Linked DNA regions of Arabidopsis thaliana. The protein of the gene in region 2 purifies or fractionates together with the protein of the main gene of each other region. This does not show direct contact. Each region holds a gene or a part of one and is shown on either strand. Other genes may lie near its edges. The genes, in order: AT1G48610 and LTP3.

Region 1 (6,615 bases), on a different chromosome or scaffold from region 2:
CAAAACAGAGAAGTCGACGTCATCGCTGGTCAATCTGGTCGTTGACTAATCAAAAATGGGCCTTCCCAACAAGAAACTGAAACAATCCAAAAACCTTATTCTGGTTTTGTGTTCAGTAAGACTATGACCCAGTCACACAAATACGAATGTTAATGTTTCTCAAGTCCCCCTAAATTGTTTTATTAACAATCAACTATGTTTCCCTTGCACCATAACGATTATAGATTCTAATATATAGAAAACTATCAATTATGTTTATTAGACTAGTGTCAGTTTTCAGAATAAGATTTTCAAATTAGTGAAGATATTTGACAGTTTCAGAGATATTTAGGTTTCTACTAAGCTTCTTATAACTCCAAATTCATAAACCTCAAAGGAAAAGAATGTTACAATTCTTGATAACAAAGACGTAGCAAATCAAATTCAGAAGGAAGAGTGAAAGTTTCCCCCATCTCCGAGCTACACATAGACCATTTTAACACTACTGTTTAAACCTCTTCTGGTAGCAAAATCCTAGAAACGTACAAACAAACAACCCTAAAGTGAAAATCAAACATTAACAACCAATCAGTCTTCCTCCAAATGAATGTTTTCTCCTAATTAAATTCCCTAAAACACATACGAAGATTTCTTTCTCGATCATCATTATCCCTTGTAGGATTCAGTCATATCAGTAGCTTTCTTTTACATTCCATCCGCTAACTTCTGGACCTCGTCAATTGCTGTTACTGCTTGTTTCAACTTAGCTGCAGCTTCCTTCACTTTCTTTTGCTGCAACATTTTTCATTTCAGTAACTTATCATCAGATTCTTTCTTTTTAGTTGAAATGAATCCATTTTAATTAACTAATCAAATGACCATTCAATTCCATCTTCTAGGCTATACGACATAATCTAACAATTCTGTTGACTTGCTAGTATCCTTTGTGCTCCACACAACATAATGTCTAAATCAAATTGATGCAGGGATACAGTAATGTTTACGAAAAACCATTATAGAAGCTAAGTGGGGATAGTTCACTTACTAAGAGTGCGGTTCTTTTCTTGAGATCTCCGACGTTTGCAGCTACCGGTGCCACTGAAGTGCTCTTTTGTTCATGCATAGAAAACCCGACTTTGACATAAGTATACACACAGTTGTATAAGCATGGTTATGTCTTACATGAACTCTTGTAGATATTGACTCAAATGAAATGATAATGACTAACCAAATAGATTTCAAGAAATACACCAAATCCAGATACTATACACATCTTTTCAAAATATTACGAATCATTTCAAATTCTGCAGAACCTAAAATTAACCAGATTTGAGACCACCAGAGACAAATAACATACAACTCTAAACTTTTTCCACTATATATGCAGAACAAACAGTCAAGAACAACCGTATAATTGGTATATACCTTTTGTTAAAATTATACATTAAGCATTGTTATGTCTAACATGAACTAAACACTTGTGAAATTTATTTGGACTCAAATTACATGATAACTTCTTACCAAATAGACCAATCACTTTCACTTCCACATTATACAAAAAAAGATTTAATGAAATACACCAAAATCCAGATAAGATGCACATCTTTTCAAAGAAATTACGAATAATATCAGATACTTCACACTCACAATAGACCACATTTGAGACAAATAAAGACATTACTCTGAACTTTATCTACTATATGCAGAAGAAACAGTCAAGAAGAACAATATTAAATAAGACATTTTCCCAAAATACACCAAAATCCAGATAAGATACACATTTTTCTAAAAATACGGGGAATTTCAGATACTGCAATCCTAAAAGTAGACCACATTTGAGACCAGAGTCAAATAAGACATTACCCTGAATTATTTCCACACTATACAGAACAAACAGTCAAGAACAATCATATAATTGGTATCAGACCATTTCTAAATTTCTTTTGACATTTTGTGAATAAAGATAATGAAATTAAAGAGAAACATACCTTCCTAGTCCTGCGCACAGGCTGTGCAGCTACTTCGACAGTAGGTTTCCTTCCACGTCTCTTAGCTGGAGCCACCACAGTTTCTGCTGGAACAGTTGCAGCCGCCACGTCATCTTTCTTTGGCCTCCCTCGTTTTCTAGAACCCTCTCCAGTAGCAGTAGTAACCACAGCCGCCGTTACAGTCGACCTCTTTGCCCTACCACGTTTCTTCACAGCCGCCGCCACAGACGTAGAAGGAACAGCCTGAGCTACGTTTCTTTTCGGACGACCACTTGGTTTAGTACTCGCCTTCGCAGAAACGGCACCGATTTGGGAAGAGTCAGATTTAGCCTTTGGCGGTCGACCACGACCGCGTTTCTGAGAAGCAGTATCAGTAGCTGAGACGCCGGTGGCATCCGTTTGAGGTTTGTTGCCAGACGCATCTCCAGGTGTACCGGATCTTGGAACTTCGGAACCAGACGCGGGAGGAGTAAGAGCTGTTTTCGCCATGAGATCTGTAGATGCGAATCAGAAAAAAAAAAAAAAAAGAGAAAGCAAAATGTGAGAAAACGGCGGTTAATCGGAATCAAAACCCTAGCAAAAACGGACATCAACGGAGACTAGACTTAAACTAAACAACCAGAAACTCGATTTCGCTAAAACCTTAACGAAATTTCAAATGTCACAAACCTAGAATCTAGAAACGAAGACTGTAAAACACAGATTCAGGCTCTCACGCGTAGAGATTTCGTTTTGAGAAAAACTAGGGTTCGCAAATCGCAATGTACGTACCTTGTTCAACTTAATAGAAGGATTCGCGAGATGGTAAAGGAAGCTTGAAGAATCTGGAGGAAGAAGAAAGAAATTACAAAGAGAAACTTGGCGGAGAAGAAAGATAAGAGAGATAGAGATGGTTTTCGCGGTTAGAAGAAGAAGGTCACCACCATGGGCTAGAGCTTGGAAAGAGTAGAAACGAACGACCGAGAGGTTCAGAATCAGTTGCGTCAACCGATATGGGTCCACCTTTACTCCTTGTTTTTATTTTTATTTATCAACATTTCATTTTTCTTTTTAATTCACAGATTTTTAAAATAAATCACGAATATTAATTTTTTGGTATTATAGTATAACATGCAAATGTGGTGGTGATTTCTTTTTAACTTTTTCAAAAAAAAAAGTTGATTTATAAAACCAAAATCGAAAAATACACTACTTTATTTCAAATTCAAAATTTTTTTGGAGAAAAGTATTGAAAACTTGTTAAAAAAGTGTTTATCGAGTAATAAATTTAGAAATTTGGTTAAATGGTGTGTGAGTGAAGAGTAAAACCGTTCTATACCTTCTACCTAATTTCTGCAATAAGTACACTTAAAATTAAAACCGGATTTCAAATTAAAACAGAGCAACTGACATAAGCAACTTTTATTTAATGGTTTTCTAACTACATAACGTAAGAGACTTGAAGAAACCATCATAAAAAGTAGAAGTGGTCATAAAAATTACATAAGCGTTTTTGATAAACATCAACAACAACTCCTAAAAAGCCTAAGGAGACAAAATAGAATAAGAGACACAACAGTCTAAAAAAAACACGAGGGAACAAAGAACAAAGCTGCCTACACAGATATGGACGATGGAGAGAGATGGGAAGCATGAACAATGGTAACATCCTAATTCACTTTACAGACATTACCCTACCTCTCCTTGTTGTTTGGTTAGAGACACAATCATCATCATCAGTTCATCACATTGTTCTTTTTGTTTTTCTCCTGCAAACACCCTTATAAGATTAAAAATTTCATGTAACACACAACAAGTAAACCCACCACTTGCTAGCTTTTTATGTCAAGGCTTTATCTTTAGAACAGAGCTTCTTGCATTGCCTCTGCTTCTGTCTGTCCTTGACCCTCTGCTTCTGGTTCGGTTTCAAGGTGTTCCTCGTCTGGCAGCTGCACTTCTTCCATGTGCTTTGGCTCGTTTGTTGTCTCTGCTATCCCTTCCAGGTCCTGTATGGCTTGAACCACTGCTTGATTTCCACTTCCTCCTATCTCGGATTTCAACACAATTACAATATCCTTAGCTCTCGCTTGCTGCATAAATGAGATATCAAAACCAAGCATAAGCAATTAAGTATCAAAACCAAGGACGGACCATATTGTGTTTCTGTTCATTAGATTACTTACAAACAACTCAAACTTCTTCTTCAGTTCTCCATAGTCACCATCTTGTCGTCCAGAAGCTCCCACTGACACCGCATTCTATGTTTATAAATGGCAATAATATAAATGTAATTAGATAACTAACTCATCAATATAATAGACAAAGAAATTCTAGTGGACTTGGAAATACACAAACTCTTGAACTTTGACTGAATTAACTAAATTTCTGCTTAAAACAGACAAAACTTGATAAGATGTCTGTCTCAAAAGATAAGTTCATATGTAATTCTCACACTTCAACTGAACAATTATTGGTTGCTAAAGCGAGCCACCTACCAAGTTGCTCTTGATTACCAAACAAAGAGATATCTTAGATTAATAGTACACCACAAAACCAGATTAAGTATAGGCCAAAAGCAGAGACACGAATATAAATTAAACTCTAGAATTTATTTAGTTAGATACTCTCTAGTCTCCACACACACGCTCGAAAGAGACAATGTTGAGAATGGAAAGTGACATTTATTCACAAGACAAAAGTTCCAACTTTTATTCTCTTATCTATTTGACTAGAAATATTCAAGTTCTCTATAATCACTGTGTAATCGCAGAGACAAAAAGGAATGATATTTTACCTTTCTGGGTCTTCCTACGGGTTTTCCAGTACGAGCAAAGCTTCTCATCGGCTTCATAGGCTTCCTGATAACACCTCCAATCTTAGGAGGCCGTCCTCTTCCTCGTTTCTTGACTGCAACCTCCTCTCCTCCACTCTCTACGTTAGTTGGTGGTGGTGGTGGTGGAGCAACAGAGGAAGCACCACCAGCGTCAACTCTCTTTGGTCTCCCTCGGCGTCTAACACCACCATTAGCAACATACGGGAACACTGAAGCTGGAGCTGAGACTACTATAGGCTTTCTCTCCCTCCCAGCAGCTCTTCCACTCGGAGGTCTACCTCTTCGTTTCACAGTCTCCACACCACCGGAAACAGAAGCAGCTGGCTTCACCGTCGGCGAAGTTCCATCTTTTCTAGGACGACCCGGCGGTCTCTTAACCGGCTGCTGTGGCTGTAACGGTAACTGTGGCGGCTGTATCTGTATCTCCTCTGGTCGAGAGACAGGTAATTCACTCTGTTCCCAGGTGAGTTTTCCATTAGTCAGAGGTTGAGGTTGAACAACATCTGGTTTAGCTTTTGGAGGTCGACCACGACCACGTTTAATAGTCTGAGGAGTAGAAGAAGCCAAAACCGGATCAGGTAAAGGTTGGTTCTCGTTGACTATGAAATCAGATCTGGGAGGTTCAAGACTAGGAGCTACACTAGTAGGAGGAGGAGGAGGAGGAGTAGAAGCAAGCTTGTAAGATTTCTTAACCATGACAAGAATCCCACTGGTCTTCAAAGTCTTGAGATGGTGTGTCAACAAAGCTCCATGAGCAGTAGGAATCCCAGTGTAAATTCTCTCTATGTACCTCGAAATAGCTTGCTTGCTTGACCCATCTGGTTCGTTTAACGCTGCAATCGCCGTGCAAATCATCTAATCAACGAAAAAAAAAAGTGAGTGGAAATTAAAAACCCTAACTTTAAAGTCAAAATGTAAGAATGAGCTAAGAAGAGCTTACGTCAGAGTAAGGAGGGTGGGAAATAGATGGATGAGGAGGAACTGGAGATGTTTGTGGCTGCTGCGGAGGAGCTGCTTGATAGAGATGGATGTTGTTTGGCGGCGCGACGGCGGTGGGTCCGGTGAAGAAGGGGTGGTTTGGAGAGGCGAAGGGGTTGGTGTTGGTGAAAGGAGGGAAAGATGTGAACTGAGGAGGAGGAGGATGATGAGGATCATTGGTTGCAGAGAGAGAAGGATCCATGGAGGATTTAGTGAGAGAGAAAAAATACAGAGCAAGGAAGGTGATGAGATTTTTGATTTTTAGTTTTTTTTTTTTGTTTCGGTTGTTTTAATTTTTCAGATAAAATTAAAAAAGTTTTGTGGAAGGAGAAGATAAAAAATAAAAAATAGTTAGGTTGGAGGAGAGAGAGTGTGTGTAGTAGTGTAAGAGAGAGATCGAAAATGACGACAGATGAGATAGTTAAAATCTGACCGTTGAAAGTGTATTTTGGTGCTGATTTACGACACGGATCGATGACGTGGCGTTTTTTGCTTTTGTTATTAAAATTGAGTTTTGTGTTTCTTTCAATTTTTTTTATATGTTTTTCTGCTTCTCTATTCAAGTACCATATTAAACTATATGTAAACATTTTTTTTCTAATTCTGAAAGTTTTTAAACATGCTTTCATTTCTTTATACTAATAAATTTCTAGAACAAGATTTTTTATACTAAATTCTCTACTTAATATCGGTTTACAAAAAAAAATGTATATTTCTAACCAATCAGTTTTTCATATTCTTTATGTTTTAACATTTACTTGGATTATATGATGTGCACTAACACCTTCTTCATTTTCTTGATCACTATCTCACTCTAATTCAAAAAAAAGAAAAAGAAAATCTCCAACAGTTAAAAAG
Region 2 (6,378 bases):
AGGGATTTTAGATGGAAAAAATGGTGACTAAGTATAGGGTTTGTTAGAAGTTAGATACGCATTTACTTTATTCTTGTTTCTTCCACTAACGAGAAAGAATGTTTTGCTATAGTCAAATGTAAACAATAGTACGTATCTTACTTTTATTTTTTATACTTTTATTTTGTATATTTTCGTATTTTAAGATATCATACTTTTGAGCGATTCAGAAGATTTGAATAGTAATACTGATAACATGCTTTGCTAAACATACGTTAGCAAAGCATAACTAATCTTCGATATCGTACATATATAATCAATAGTTTGCTAGCTATGTGTACGGACTATTTCAGTACCGTTCATATTTCAATTCAATGCAATGAGAAACTAAGGAACATATCTAAGTGTATCCTCCACCAATTTAATTTGTTTTTAGCTATGAGTACTATATCTAAATTGATCTATATATTTATCAGTTACTATGTACATTAACTTTTTGTCGTCTATATCTTTATTTATTTTAAGATATATGTTTTGATTCAAAGCAAGGTCATCACTGTGCATATTTTTCTCTTAAAAAGTTAACAGTTAAAAGGATGGAGATGGCGGTTACTGGTTAGAAATCGGAGATTTAATTATGCCAAATCTCAATTACCGTCCAATTAGTGCAATGTATAACTGAGGGACACGTGTATCCAACATCAAACATGACAAATTGACAACTCTCCCAACCAGCTTATTTGAAGAATAAACCAGGAGCAGAGTTTAATATGTAAGTCCGGTTATCGGAGTCCTTAAAATTAAACCAAGCTGGTTTTGGAAATTGAGCAATATATGGTTTCAATAAGTTGAAGATTCTGGGCCTTTAACGGACCTGATGAAAGCCCAACGCACATTACGGGTTTGAGTCAATGACTATGACTTGAATGTCCTAAAGGCTAAGCTCCAAATGTTGACCAAATCAGGAGATCAATTCTGACAATTTTTCACTAGCAACCATACTTTGAAAAATGCTATCTGATTTGAGAGTATCAGATGCGGTATAATGGGCTTAACCGCTTAAGTCGCTGACGAGGAACTTGAGATGGCTTTGCGTTATTGCGTAGTAAGGTATTACAACACGATATTGGACGAAATTTTGCATGACATTAGTAACTTGACGCAAACGCAGAGTTGATAAAATTTGCATGACATTAGTAACGATTTTGTCCAAAAAAAAAAAAAAAAAATTTTTTTTTTTCTTCGATGCATAATCAAATCGTGAAGATTGATAACATTGTTCTTAGATTAAAAAAAACAATGTTGTTAGGTGTTTGTTATTTAATTAGGATTATTACTTTTGTTATTTAATTAGGTTGGTCAACGTAAAGTTTTATTTTTTCGGATAATGGTAAAATTTCTATTGCAGATGCAGCAGCTTTTACTTTATCAGTATGGATGAGAGATTTATTTTTTTGGGTTAAAGGAGAAAAATCATTGAGCATGTCTTCTTCGTATAAATATCAATTTTATAAATAATGTCACTCCAAAACTAGGAACTTAATATTATTGGTTACTTAATAGTTATAAAACTCTTCACATATTATTATTACGTTCGTATGCGTTGGAGGAGATATCTAGAAAGAAGATGACTAATAAGGTACTATTATCATAGTTTTAGCACATCAATACAACATATGATATGAAAATAAGACAAAGCATTGAGACAAAAACAAATACATGGTAATATCAGCTAAGATATATAGCCGTATTTTATTCTAGTACTTCTGGTAAACCATACTCTTAACGCCAAAACGACGACGTAAGCTTCCATTTCACTTGATGCTGCAACAATCCAAACGATCAAGAGAACACATTTTGTCATTAGAAAAAATAATTCATGGTCTCTAGATCAAGTAAAACAAAACTAAATACTTACTTGTTGCAGTTAGTGCTCATGGAGATTGGATATGGAATGCTAACACCGCACTTTCCAGGAAGGCCAGAGGCTAGACTTGGGTTGAGACCAGAAATGCTCTTCGCAGTGGACTGGATGCATCTGCAAGCTTGTTGGCGGTCTGGTGTGGTTTTAGCCATACTGTTCAAAGTTTTGACTCCTGCACAACATGAAGGTGGCACCAACCCACCTTTTGATAGATAGGTTGCACATGGAGCCAAGCTACCTGCCACTGTGCCACATGAGATTGCAGCATCGACTGATGCAACTATGCACACCGTTAAAACAAGGCATGTGAAGAACCTCAAAGCGAAAGCCATTGTGTTTGAACTTCTTTTTGGGTGATAACAAAATTAGTTGAGTTTCGTTTTCTTAGCTTATGTTTTTGTTGTTGGATATGAAAAAAGTGGGAGATGATGATGGGTTTATATAGGGATTTCATATGGGAAAATATGATGACTAAGTAGGGTTTGTTAGTAGTTGGATTCGCATTTACTTCATTCATTCCTTCTAGTTTATTCTACTAAACTGAGAATTAAGATTTTGTCAATAGTAGTATCACATCGTTTAGTATGTACTACCTCTCTCTATTTTTTTTTATTTTTTTTTATCAAACCTCTCTCTAATTCTAAAAAATGATTTCTAGATTTTTTTGTTCCACAAAGATTAATTTTCCAACTTTTTAATACAAATTTTGTTGATTATAATACTAAAATGAATTGTAAACTTGAAGGACTATTTTGAAAATAAAAAAAAATTATTAAGTTACTATTGTTTTATGATTATTGAAAATTGTTTAGCTAGTAATTTTTTTTTTTTTTTAATATGTGTGAAATTTTTGAAAATTAATCCTTTTAGACACAGAAAGAGTAGTATTAGATATTACAAAGATATCAAAATTGTTTTAATTTAAAAATTTCACTAGGTGTTTTTAATAACAATTTGGTTATCTTAAGCTATAATGCTTTGAGCGATGCTTCAAGATTTAATAATATCGCTTGGAATCGACAAGACTAACTGGAGAAGACCACTTAGCAAATTAGTAGAAAGCATTGCGATGAATTTTGTAAAATATAGCATCTCCTTAACATTTTCAATTTTTTTTTTTTTTTGAATTCATAATTCATATGCTGTATAATCATTAATTTATCAGCTATTAGTCGTACTATGTGAACTAGATTTGAATAATGACATGCCGTCTGATTTAATGCTATGTGTAACTGACGGACACGTGTACCCAACACTAGACATCAGAACTCTCCCAACTAGCCCAATCACATTCTCCTTTTCCATTGGACCACCTTTCATCTGCTTTTAATTAACTGTGGCCATAAGACTTAGTGAAAGAAAAACAAAAGTTGCAGTTTTTAAACTCTTAAATATAAAGATGAATAAATTTTTTTATATATGATCACAAATTTTAAATGATTCCAACAGTTTCTTATGAAGTACTTAGATTTTCAATACCAAAATTCTTAGCCTGGTGAAGGAAGCCAAAATATTGTTTTATTTGTATGAATTTTGGTTAAGTCATTATTCTAGAATTGTAATGAAAGAAAAAGAATGATGAGCATATAAAGTAGTGATTAATTAGTGGTTCAATTTGAGACGCGGAAGTAGTTTGTAGTTGGTAGTTGGTAATTTGAAATGTGAAATGTGACTTGCATTTACTTGTTTTTCCTCTTCCAGAAATTTGTGGATTATATTATAAAAGATAATTGGTGAGTATTTAAGGTATATTTTTAGTACAATCAAATACATTATTATTGTAATTGTAAGACCATTGCATTCTGAAATTTTGGATTTTTTTATTGTTAATATTTATATTTATTTAAAGGATTCCTTATAGTACAAGGACCTTAATTAAAAATTGATTTCAGAATAGTAAATGCAGTAATGTGTATAAAAGTTGAAACAGCTTTAAGACATTTTCCATAAAATAGTTGTAGTAGTTTTTACAAGTTTACTATAACTATTTCTTTTAGCAAAAATAAATTATATTTGTAACCTGTTGTGTATATCTTAAGGAAAACTAAGAAAGCTCTACCATTTATAAAAGCCATTTTTTGACAAGATGGAAACCATAAATCAAAGCTCACAATAATCATCATAATCTTTGGAACACCAAGGATTCTTGCAGTTTCATATGAAGATTATACGGAATTGCACTGATTATTTTAGTGTTATTTTAAAATGATAATGATATTTTATATATCATAAATTTGATATAAATGATGATATTTTACAGAATGAAATGTTGTTATACATACTATACCTTAAGAGCATATAACATGATATAATTGCTACATTAGTGTCGGTAGAGGTTTGTGTAGTCAAATTGTGACTATTAAGTACTACACATGTGAGACATTTATCAATCTTGTACGATGTTGCTTGACGGTTTTTGGCTGATAGTATCCAACACCATACATCAACCTTTCACGTCCCAAGCTCTCTAAGACATCGGAGAAGCATCATCACATGCGTACGTAGAAAGGAAACACAAAAGTTAAAGACATTTTGTAATATGTGTAACTATGAGACATATATGAGACTGCATGTGACTATGAGTTATATATGGCTTATAGAGCGATAGTGTTATGGAGATTATATTGCATTCATGCTATGTACTGCATAAGACGAATTCGGTTTCGTGTATTTATTCCCGCTTGAGTCTAGAATTGGTTTCAAGTATAGTTAGAAAAAGACTGTTTTTTTCGTCCTATTATGGTTCGTATACAAAATTATGCATTGAATTGATGTGGCATTCACGTAAAAATCTTCCTGCAGGGCTATAAAACGTATTTTTGGCGTACGATTATAATAAATTTTGTTATTATTCAGATTATTTATTAAATCTTTTTTGTTGTTGACAAACGCATTTATGTTAATGATTATACGAAATATCGAGAAAAACTCCATATAGCACCTCTATCATTCAATTATGTAGTAAGTCATAAAATGTGAACTTTGCTAATTATAATGGCCATAATTAGTAAACGTGATGGGAGAATTGTGATGTTTAGTGTTGGATACACGTGTCTATCAGCTGCACATCGCATTTAATTGGACGGTATTACATATATAGTACACATAATAGCTGACATTTCATCTACAACGAAGATACAAATTTTTAAACGATTTTCTCTTGTCTACTACAGTATAACATCGCTCTAAACATGCTAATTAAAAAAACAAGTTTAATTAACTGCAGATAAATGAATATATATTTTTTAACAGTATAGCTGTATATATATTGACGTATTGGTCTTTGTACATTCTGAAAACTGATACTATTGTTTACATAATTACATATGACTGGAGAAACTAATTATTTTGGTTAGTAGAAGAAACATAACTACATATGACTGGAGAAACTAATTATTTTCGTTAGTAGAAGAAACTAGAAAGAATGCATGAAGTAAATGCAAAACCAACTACTAACAAACCCTACTTAGTCATCATTTTTCCCCCATACGAAATCCCTATATAAACCCATCATCATCTCCCACTTTTCTCACATCCAACAACAAAACACAAGCGTAGAAAACAAAACTCAACTAATTGTGTTATCACCCAAAAGAGAAGAGCAAACACAATGGCTTTCGCTTTGAGGTTCTTCACATGCTTTGTTTTGACAGTGTTCATCGTTGCATCAGTGGATGCAGCAATAACATGTGGCACAGTGGCAAGTAGCTTGAGTCCATGTCTAGGCTACCTATCAAAGGGTGGGGTGGTGCCACCTCCGTGCTGTGCAGGAGTCAAAAAGTTGAACGGTATGGCTCAAACCACACCCGACCGCCAACAAGCATGCAGATGCTTACAGTCCGCTGCAAAAGGGGTTAATCCAAGTCTAGCCTCTGGCCTTCCTGGAAAGTGCGGTGTTAGCATCCCCTATCCCATCTCCACGAGCACCAACTGCGCCACGTAAGTTTTTAATTGAGCAGTACTGCTCATATTCTCTCTAATATTTTTTTTTAACTTGGCTAATTTCTCGATCTTGAGACGATGACTTAATCTTTCTAGTGATGTAATTTATACTCTTGATCGTTTGTATTGTTGCAGCATCAAGTGAAGTGGGGAATAACGACATCATTTGCCTGAAGAGTATGGTTTCGTATACGTAAAATAAGACGGCTATCTAAGCTGATATTTACCTTGTCTTTGTTTGTCTTGATGGCTTTGTAATCTTTTGCTTTGTTATGTTGTATACTTGTGTCTTAACATGTTTAAGATATGATAATATATAGTATCGGTACCTTATTAATCACCTTCTCTTTATAGTTTATATATCTTTCCGCCAACGCACTCATACGTAAAAATCATATAGTGAAGAGTCTTATAACCAATAATATTAAGCTCTTTTTAAACAACAAAAACCATATTATAAGCTCTTAGGTTTGGAGTGAAATTATAATTTTGAGATTGGTAAAGTGTAAACCAAATTCTATATATAAATACGA

What was found.
Region 1: the proteins of LTP3 (region 2) and AT1G48610 fractionate together in Arabidopsis thaliana (co-fractionation; one large-scale study listed by BioGRID). This does not show direct contact.

What each region holds. Positions count from the first base shown.
Region 1 is NC_003070.9:17,970,343-17,976,957, forward strand, and holds AT1G48610 (AT hook motif-containing protein), read right to left. Parts: upstream 3,061-6,615; 5' UTR 2,739-3,060; intron 2,462-2,738; 5' UTR 2,457-2,461; coding exon 1,968-2,456; intron 1,088-1,967; coding exon 1,025-1,087; coding exon of another isoform or gene 980-1,024; exon of another isoform or gene 772-979; coding exon 685-771; 3' UTR 269-684; downstream 1-268. Other genes in the region: HON5 (high mobility group A5), read right to left, coding at 3,806-4,036, 4,130-4,204, 4,741-5,634, 5,720-5,959. UniProt on the Arabidopsis thaliana protein: May bind DNA.
Region 2 is NC_003076.8:23,924,908-23,931,285, reverse strand, and holds LTP3 (lipid transfer protein 3), read right to left. Parts: upstream 2,333-6,378; 5' UTR 2,236-2,332; coding exon 1,898-2,235; intron 1,804-1,897; coding exon 1,794-1,803; 3' UTR 1,470-1,793; downstream 1-1,469. Other genes in the region: LTP4 (lipid transfer protein 4), read left to right, coding at 5,514-5,842, 5,981-5,990. UniProt on the Arabidopsis thaliana protein: Plant non-specific lipid-transfer proteins transfer phospholipids as well as galactolipids across membranes. May play a role in wax or cutin deposition in the cell walls of expanding epidermal cells and certain secretory tissues.